Linked DNA regions of Saccharomyces cerevisiae S288C. The protein of the gene in region 2 purifies or fractionates together with the protein of the main gene of each other region. This does not show direct contact. Each region holds a gene or a part of one and is shown on either strand. Other genes may lie near its edges.

Region 1 (5,698 bases), on a different chromosome or scaffold from region 2:
ATCATTAAAAAACAATCAAAGTTTTGTTTTTTTACTTTTTTTTTTTGGAATTTTTGTTGTTGAAGGAAAAGGACGCCTAAGCAGGCGAAGAATACTATCATTACCCATAATAAGAATTTTTTATTGTATAATATCATTTTGTTTTCGTGATTTTTAGTTGTTTTCGTTTTATTGCAACATGCCTATTTCAAAATACTTGTACCTTTAAAAAATCGACATCTTCGTCAAGGTCGTCGATGAAACTGCTTTGATCAAGTTCATTGGTGGCAGTTGCATCATTGTTGTTATCGTTTAAGTCATAAAGGTTAGCGTTCGACTTCGACGTAGAAATTTTTTTGGATTTCAGAACTTTGGTGTAGTCGTCATCAGTACCGGCACTACCGTCAATACCGGTATCGTTGGAAAACATGAAATTTTTAAAAGATCTGCCATTGTTACAGTCCTGCTCTTCCATCAACTCTTCTAGAGTTGGGGGCAAATAAGAAAACTTATTGTCAGCCAAAGTGATTTCTGAACCTAACTCGTCATGGTGATGCGAATCAGCGCTTTCATCCTGATCCTGAAGAAACAGATAGGTTTCATCGTTCTTTGCTTGGATGTTCGCCTTCTCAGAATTAGTATTTTTTTTCAAAGCACGTGATGAATCTTCTTGTTGTGAACTTGAACTTGGTAAATAATTCCAAATGTCTTCTTCATCTGGCTCAACCTTATCATCTTGCCCTGAAGATACGGTTTCCTCCAAAATTGGCAGATTCAATAAAGACATATTATCGTCATTGTCCACTTGTTGGTAATTGCCACTGTTCTTACCTGTTGTATCGTCCATAGACTGTAAGTAAGAATTCCAGAGATCATTATTTTCGTTAACGTCGTTATTCGTGTTGACTTTGGCATACTTATTGAAAAACTCAAGTTTCTCGAAATCGTTAAAGAATTTAATCTCGTTCAAATCCTCAATTTTGTCCTTAACTTGCAAATTAGTAGGCAAGGAGTGGTTTCTAATCAACGAGACTGAATCTGCTGGAGAGAAATCTGCTGGAGAATCAGGGAATGAAGCCTTATGAGGGATCTTATGAAAATTTAGGTTCATGTTCAAATCTTTTGTCAACTGTGGGACCGGAGTGGCCGATGAAGATGTGGAAGATAAGGACAATAAATCAAAGTCGTTCAACTTTGATTTTTTCGTGGGTGGTGCGTGAACATTTGAAGAAGAATCTATATGATGGTTTTTTGTTAGCAGACTGTTGTGAGCAGCAATGGTTTCCACATCGGTGCAGCTTTCATCGTCCATGAATTCTGATTTTTTTCTATTTCTATAACTTGAAAAAGATGGAGATGAATAAGATGGAGATGAAATGGAGGAGGCAGAAGAATGAAACTTTTCATTTTCCAAGTCATCGAACTTCAAAAATGCGAGGTAATTCGAGTCGTTTATTAGCTTTTCATCGATTGTCTGGATATGTCTTGGTATTTTCCTCTTTTCTTTGGAAGCTTGTTTCCTATTCGAAATGATGTTATTATTATTATTATTATTACTACTGTTCCTGCTGTTAGGGCCAACATTTAAAATATTATTGGTGTTGTTGGCAGGTAGAGTGTTGTGAGAAGATGATCTTCTACCAGGTCTTGGTCTTGGGGGCAAAACCCAATGTTTTGAAGTTCTAACCACCAAGCTAGACTTCTTCTTCTTTTTACTGCCATCGTTTTCGAATTCCAGCGAACTATTGTTATGATGGTTGGTATTTGGGGCGATCGGTACAGGCGCCAATGGAATATTATTATGCTCATTTTTAAAATGGTTACTACGAGGGCGACTAGCGGAGGCCTGTAGTAGAAAAGTCTTTGCGGTCATGATTCTTTTTTTGTTTTTTTTTTGTACTAGAAAATGTAGGTAAAACAAATCAGCAACCCATTAAAATGCTCTTTGATGTACTAGGAGACCAATAAATATGTGTGGAAAAAAAATAAAACTGTGTTTTTTCTCTTCCTATGCGTTTGATAATGATCTGCTCAAATAAATAATGACCCTTTTTTATTTTTCTGGTTCCTTTATAGTAGTATTTTTATATTATTAAGTGTAAAGTGGACCTGTAGATAGCATATACGATATAAAACTGGGGTTTAGAGAGGTGAAGGAATTAATAAAGGTAAAAAAATTAAAAGGAAAAAGGAGATGGACCTAAACAACCACACGGGGTTAAGCAAGAAGAAATTGATATAGGAGATTAGTTAATAGCTTTACAATATATATAATTTATCTAAAAACGATCTCATACTCAATAAATTTTTTTAGAGTAGTCTCGGAAAGAAAATAGCAATCCATTTACTTTTAGAACAATCTGCAAAATCGATACATGACACTTGGAAGCAACTGTGAAAAGGCTACGGCCATTGCTTACCGCGTGCAAGATCCGTAACATAAGAAAACTTTAGTCCTTGATGAAAGAAAATTTTCGTTTTTTTTTTCAGGTTCAGCGGGCTTAACCTCGTTTGCCGCCTCGGCCCCGCTCCGTTGTGCTGGCCATCTGTGCGCGGCGGGCTTCCCCCCCGTCGCTACTTCCGGATTAAACTTTTAGACTTCGGACCCCTGCCCCGGGGGGTTTCTCTGAACGCCGGGGTAGTGGTCCAAAGCCCACGAAACGCGTGTTCCTCTCAGCGGCATTGGAGTGAATAAAGCCCGCAGGACAGCCTTTTTTTTCCGGGCTGCACGACCGAATCAACTTGTCGCTCTATTCCTCCGTTGTTCCCGATTTGTAGCTCGGGGCCGACTCGCTTTTTGGCCAAGAAAATTGAGGAAAGCCCGTATTGCGGAGAAGGTTCTTATGTATTTGCCGTGCGATCAACCTCCGGGGCCCGGGTTTCAAATTCCGGCAATCATCCATGCCTAGTTTTGGAAATTCTCAGCAGAGGTTATCCCGTAAGGTGAAAAAAAGACATAAACGGTTTTTGCCTACAGTTTCCGGCAAAATAGTGATCTCATAGTACATCACTACTGCGAAGTCACCGGCCCGTACAGAAAAAGTATATCTTTAAATAGCGGCCCTACCTCTGCTTCTACCTACTTCATATTCGAATTCTTTTCTCGCCTTCCGCAGTGTTTCGCAAATCTGGACCTACGCACTAAATCATTTATGATTGTTCTCTCTTTCACGTGATAAGGTTTGCATTCTATTCGTTACCCTATTAATTATTACTATTTTTTTCAGCATGAGTTTTATTTCGCACATAAAATGCATCTATTTCTGGATATTACTGTAGTTTTCTTTGCTTTTCGCCTACCGCGCGGCGAAAAGTCGTATCAATCAATATGTGCCACTGCTATCATCCCTTGATAGAGTACAACGTAAAAGAGGCATTGTAGCATATTCACCCCGCTTGATAACTAGATTTTTTAGGCAAGAGTTGCGCACAGCGTACTGTGCACTACGGTATACAGAATTACACAATTGATACTTATTCTCTCCTTCATTGTTGCTCTGTTTCCGTTGTTTAAACTTTATCCAAAAACTCTGTTTTCTGTTTATTGAACCCCTTGCTTTCGCAAGCAAGCCCGACATATACGAACAGAACTGGGGAGAGGGAGTCTTATGCTGTACAACTCATGTAACCCCCACTATCTCAGGAGTTATATTAAATCAAGGCACGCCAGTGCTGCCTCTCTTGGTACGACAAACAAGTTTTTCCCGATTCTAGGTATTGCATTACATAATATCAACCCTTTGTTGTTTTCTTTTGATTTTTGAAAAGAAATATCTCATACCAACCGGAAAGGAAAAAGGACACAATTTGGGAAAATAGGCAATTTATTATGTACACAAGTCATAACCAAGAAAAAAGTAAGGGTAAAACAAGCAATTACTGAACTTGTTTCATGAGACTCATATCCAGAAGCATATTTATATAAGGAAATATTAGTTGCAAATCATTATGTCATTCCTTTCGCACACCCGATATGCTAAAAACAGCATACATGCACACTGCGCTTGGCTTGGACATATTCTCTCTGCATATGATGGAAAAAAAATCTTTTTTTTTCTTTTTCTTTGACTTTTTGCCGTTTTGTCATCGTCATCGCGATGGAAAAAGAAATGAAGAATACTTGATGAACAGGTGAAACTTGAACAATAACGTATCAGAATGAGGGTAAAGGGACCTTGTAAAACTTTTGAAAAAACTAAACAGGCAATTTAGTAAGAAGATGCCACTGGTGCTTTTTACGGGATACCCATGTAGTGGTAAGACAACGCTTGCTAAACATTTGGTACAACTACTACAGTCCAAGATCGATGCAACCCCATCATTAAGTAAATATTCCATAACCTATCATTCAGATGAATCTTTAGGCATAAAACATTCAGATTATATAACTTCCCAAGATGAAAGAAAATTGAGGTCGGAGATCATCTCCGCAGTGAAAAGAGATCTATCTAAAAACAAGATAGTCATTGTAGACTCGTTGAATTATATCAAGGGTTTCCGGTATCAACTTCACTGCGAGGTGAAAAATTTGTCCACCACATTTTGTGTAATTCAAACACTGTGTCCACCAGAGACTATATTCGAGTGGAATAAGACTTCAAACCCGAACCCTTGGGAACCCGAGTTATTGAATCAATTGATTCAACGATACGAAGAGCCTAACTCAAGCAACCGATGGGACTCTCCACTCTTTGCTATTCTTACTCCTCAGGACAACATAACTGACTACATCGACGATATTTGTAAAGTAGTCTTTCAAACTTCCAAATCGGCTAAAAACAGTGGACACAATGATCCGTTGAGTAAGGGCTTACAAAAACCGAACTCAGCCACGGTACTAAAGCCTGCGTCTCAGTCCAATTTCATCCAGGTTCTCGACATCGAAACTAGTAAGATAATAAAAACCATAATGAACCACATCAAAAGCCTGACTTCTATTGGCGGGGTAAGTAACGGAACAAGAGTCATTGTTTCCGAAGGGATTACCGATATCAATGATGATGGTTGCTTCTTCGTAGACTTGCCCATTGGTAACGTCGTTACGTTGGCGCAATTGCAGAGATTGAAAAGGCAATTCATTAACTTCAACAAACTAAGAGATATAGATCAAGATAGGATCGGTCCGCTTTTCGCTGATTATCTTAACAAAAACTTGAATTGAGATATACATGTGATTAATATCAGAAGGTAAATGGCAAGACGAAATTTGCTTGTTTATAATACAAAAAAACATACATAAGATATAATATATATTTCAATAGAAAAGAAAAAGTATAGAAAAGTGAATAAACAAAAGAAACATGAGAAAAATAGCTCGTCTTCTCAACTGGGTATCTATTGACCTCTTAATTCTGGTTGAATGTTTTCATCAGAAAGGTCTTCTTCATCATCGGCTTTCCCTATTAGTCCAGCAACATCTTCTTCATCGTGATGAGGTTGGCTATGATGGTTATTATGATGAGTTGTGTTCTTATTATACTGCGATTCTACATCCACGTCCACCATTACATCGTCTACGTCATCATCATTATTCTGGTGTAGATTCTCTACCTCTTTCAAATGCGATGACAGTAACCTTAACTGTTCCGCCACTTCATGTGGTAGTTTGTCGTCTTCATTTCTCTCTTCCAGTGTGATATCTGACAAATGCTGTCTTTTGGACTTGTGAGCATCTTCTGAATCCATATCGTTGATCAAGTTTTCATCTACCACGTTTCTC
Region 2 (4,615 bases):
TGCAATCGGAACCGTTTGACCCGGCCGTATCATCCATGTCATATGATGCGTATGAGCACTACACGACTTTCCCACGGGCCATCCCACCATTGTTGGAATCTACTGCCACGCGTCAGTTTCATTTAAGATTTACCAGAGGATTCTGGGATGCCCTGTCGTGGGGACAGTTGCCACATGCTGGAAAAGAGGCAGGTGCCTCAGGTGTGGAATTGTGGTCGCAAGTGCAGGCCATGGATCAGGAACAGGCGTTCCATAATTGGAAAAAACTGTCCAATTCATTGAGCGGATTGTTTTGTTCTTCTTTAAATTTTATCGACGAGTCAAGGACGACCTTTCCCCGGCGGTCATATGCTTCTGATATAGGAGCTCCTCTTTTCAATAGCACCGAGAAACTGTACCTGATGCGAGCATCGTTGCCCAATGAACCCATCTGTACCGAGAACTTGACGCCGTTCATAAAACTATTGCCTACTAGGGGCAAATCCGGTTTGACATCTCTCTTGGATGGTCATAAATTGTTCGACTCTCTATGGAATAGTATTTCCTTGGATATTGCCACTATTTGTTCTGAAGATGAAGATGCTCTTTGTCACTACGAGATGGACGCACGCATAGAAATGGTAACACACGTTCCCTCCGCCTTGGCAAGAGGTGAGAGACCTATCCCCAAACCTTTGGATGGGAACACATTGCGTTGTGACACGGATAAACCCTTTGATTCTTACCAATGCTTCCCTCTACCGGAACCTTCGCAGACTCACTTCAAGCTGTCTCAGCTGTTTGCCAGACCAATAAACAATGGCAACCTGTTTGCTAATAGGCCCACAAGAATTTGTGCAGAAGTTGACCGTTCTACCTGGACTGCGTTTTTGTCAGTTGACGATACTATTTTCAGCACACATGATAATTGCTTTGACTTATCAAACGATCAAAATGAGGGTGGTTCGGGCTACGACTTTATTTTAGAATCGACGGACACTACTAAAGTTACTCCCATAGTTCCTGTCCCAATTCACGTAAGCAGATCTCTGACTGGTAATGGACAAGATCGTGGTGGAATGCGTATTGTTTTCCATAACGACAATGATACCCCTGTGAAGTTGATTTATTTCGAATCATTGCCATGGTTCATGAGAGTTTACCTATCCTCTCTTCAAATTACTTCTACTACCTCTCCGCAATTGCAAGAAAACGATATCATCTTAGATAAATACTATTTACAAGCGGCCGATAGAAAAAGACCTGGCCACTTGGAGTTCACGATGTTAATTCCAGCTAATACGGACATTGTAATGACTTATCAATTCGATAAAGCTCTTCTGCAATTTGCCGAGTATCCACCAGATGCAAACCATGGTTTTGAAATCGATGCAGCTGTAATCACCGTGCTATCTTTGGAGTCCTCATCGTCTCTTTATGAAATGAGAACCTCTACCCTATTGTTATCCCTGTCTACACCGGATTTTAGTATGCCGTATAACGTCATCATTCTAACATCTACAATCATGGGACTCATATTCGGTATGCTATACAATTTGATGGTGAAGAGAATGGTCACCGTCGAAGAGGCCGATAAGATTACGTTGCAATCTGGCTTAAAATACAAATTGCTAAAGCTAAAGGAAAAGTTCCTAGGGAAAAAAAAGACTAAAACAGACTAACAATCTAGCATCTAGATATGTGTATGAAGTATACGTAGTTTACATAATCTGGAAGCACTCACTATTTACCATCAGTTTCTACTTTTTAAAAGGGATCCTCATATGGATCCTCTTCATCATAATCGTCATCCTTTTCGTACTCATAAACAATAGCACCCCCTTGTCCAAAGCTTTGTGCCTCCAGAAAAGGCAATGCGACTTGATCTTTGGCCAGCTTCTGTTTGTTGGATGTTCCTAGGTTGAATGTTGTTAATCCTTGCAACATTTCGGGTGTCTCCAGTCCGTTACTACTGCTCTCCTCTTCTTGCTTAGTGGTTGATAATAATTCATATTCGTGGGTGTTTGAATTTACTATGAAGTCGTATTCCAATGACCTGCCGGACTTTCTTTTATTAACAAGTCGTAATTGAAATATATCGTTATTTAACCCGCGAGGAATTCTAAATTCGTTTAACAATTCACTCACCTCCTCAGTATCGAGAGTGCCTGTTAATACCACATCAATATCTACTATTGTAGTGGCCATAAACTGCAGTAAAGTCAACTTATCAGGATAATTGTTATTCCAATCAGGTATTACCGTACGGTTCTCATCTTTGATGTCTTTATGATAAGTCGCAACCATCGTGCAGTGAGGAGAGGCGATCTCAGACAAAAACCTTGTTATGTATTCTGTAGAAATATAGTTCAATGAATCGATAATGACCATGTGCTTTTTTGCCTGTGTGGCAGTAGCAGCCGGTAGATATGATATAATTTGTTTCACTAAATGTACAAAATCCATCTGCGTAGCGTCAATAAATTGAGTACAGTACGATGGTTTATTCACTGTTTCGAACGAAATGTACACAATTGGATACTCATTTCCTTTACTCTTGCTCTGGTGGACGAATTCTTGGATGAGCTTGTATGAGGTCTGGGCAATAGAATCTAAGCACAAAATGAAAGGGGAGCTTTCTGTGAGCGATAAGATTCTTTTCAAAAGAATGACAGGGTTATGTGACGAACTGGCCATTATATCTTGTTCTACCTGTAGCAATAGCTTGGGTTGGAGCTATTAAAAAGCTCTTAAGTTATCATTCTCCAGAGGTTATAATGGCATCGCTTCTTATATTTGGATTTTTCAAGGTGACCCGCACTATGAGATGATAATCAAGGCAGCATTAATAGTATCAAAAATACTTTAATAAATCATCAATAGGTAGTACTTTACATAAGTATATAGAGGATTTTAAAACTTGTAAAGTTATTTTCGAATGCATTTGGTTTGTAGATTCCTTTGATTACATTTAGCGAATCCTATTGCATGCAGAGAAGGGTAAAAGATACATAATGCCGGAGATTTATGGACCTCAGCCATTAAAGCCACTCAATACGGTGATGAGACATGGGTTTGAAGAGCAATACCAAAGTGACCAACTTTTACAATCACTCGCGAATGATTTCATATTCTACTTTGATGATAAACGACACAAAACTAATGGAAATCCGATTCCTGAAGAGGATAAACAACGAGATGTAAATCGTTATTACCAGCCGATTACCGATTGGAAGATTATGAAAGATCGACAGAAGACAGTAAGTGCGGCCCTTTTATTATGCTTGAATTTAGGTGTCGATCCCCCTGATGTTATGAAGACACATCCCTGTGCCAGAGTTGAAGCATGGGTAGACCCATTGAATTTCCAGGACTCGAAGAAAGCAATAGAACAAATTGGTAAAAACTTACAAGCACAGTACGAAACTCTGTCTTTGAGAACACGCTATAAACAAAGCTTGGATCCTTGTGTAGAGGATGTCAAACGGTTTTGCAACTCGCTAAGAAGAACTTCTAAGGAAGATAGGATACTTTTCCACTACAACGGACATGGTGTGCCTAAGCCTACAAAATCAGGTGAAATTTGGGTTTTCAACAGAGGTTATACACAATATATTCCGGTATCTTTGTATGACCTGCAAACTTGGTTAGGTGCGCCATGTATATTTGTCTATGATTGCAACAGTGCTGAAAATATATTAATCAACTTTCAGAAGTTTGTGCAAAAGAGGATTAAAGATGATGAAGAGGGAAATCATGATGTTGCCGCGCCATCACCAACTTCAGCTTATCAAGATTGTTTCCAATTAGCCTCTTGCACTTCCGATGAACTTTTACTTATGAGTCCGGAACTACCCGCAGATTTGTTTAGTTGTTGTTTGACCTGTCCAATAGAGATTAGCATCCGTATCTTTCTCATGCAGTCACCCTTAAAAGATTCTAAATATAAAATTTTCTTCGAAAATAGTACTTCAAATCAACCGTTTGGTGATAGTAAGAACTCGTTCAAGTCCAAAATACCCAACGTCAATATCCCTGGAATGTTGTCGGATAGGAGAACGCCGTTGGGAGAACTAAATTGGATTTTTACAGCTATAACGGACACAATTGCATGGACATCCCTCCCCCGACCACTTTTCAAAAAATTATTCAGACATGATTTAATGATTGCTGCGCTTTTCAGAAATTTTCTTCTAGCCAAAAGAATAATGCCGTGGTACAATTGCCATCCTGTATCTGATCCAGAATTACCAGATAGTATAACCACACATCCAATGTGGAAATCTTGGGATTTAGCCATGGATGAAGTACTGACTAAAATAGTCATTGATCTGAAAAATGCTCCTCCCGCTACTGCCTTAGAGAGTCAGATGATTCTACAACAACAAGAAACCTTACAGAATGGTGGCAGCTCTAAGTCGAATGCCCAAGATACGAAAGCCGGAAGTATTCAAACACAATCGAGATTTGCAGTGGCCAATTTAAGTACAATGTCTCTAGTAAATAACCCTGCTCTCCAATCAAGAAAATCTATATCTTTGCAAAGCTCACAGCAACAATTACAGCAGCAGCAACAACAACAACAACAATTTACAGGATTTTTTGAACAAAATTTGACTGCTTTTGAATTGTGGTT

The links. The genes of interacting proteins can lie anywhere in the genome.
Region 1: the proteins of IKI1 (region 2) and KTI12 purify together in Saccharomyces cerevisiae (affinity purification with western blotting; 5 studies listed by BioGRID). This does not show direct contact.

The regions. Positions count from the first base shown.
Region 1 is NC_001143.9:228,381-234,078, reverse strand, and holds KTI12 (Kti12p), read left to right. Parts: upstream 1-4,198; coding exon 4,199-5,140; downstream 5,141-5,698. Other genes in the region: transcription factor HAP4, read right to left, coding at 188-1,852; DNA-binding protein ABF1, read right to left, coding at 5,314-5,698. UniProt on the Saccharomyces cerevisiae protein: Elongator complex-associated factor that is not a structural subunit but rather transiently contacts the complex.
Region 2 is NC_001140.6:479,051-483,665, reverse strand, and holds IKI1 (Elongator subunit IKI1), read right to left. Parts: upstream 2,677-4,615; coding exon 1,747-2,676; downstream 1-1,746. Other genes in the region: GPI-anchor transamidase subunit GPI16, read left to right, coding at 1-1,661; ubiquitin-binding TORC1 subunit KOG1, read left to right, coding at 2,994-4,615. UniProt on the Saccharomyces cerevisiae protein: Component of the elongator complex which is required for multiple tRNA modifications, including mcm5U (5-methoxycarbonylmethyl uridine), mcm5s2U (5-methoxycarbonylmethyl-2-thiouridine), and ncm5U (5-carbamoylmethyl uridine).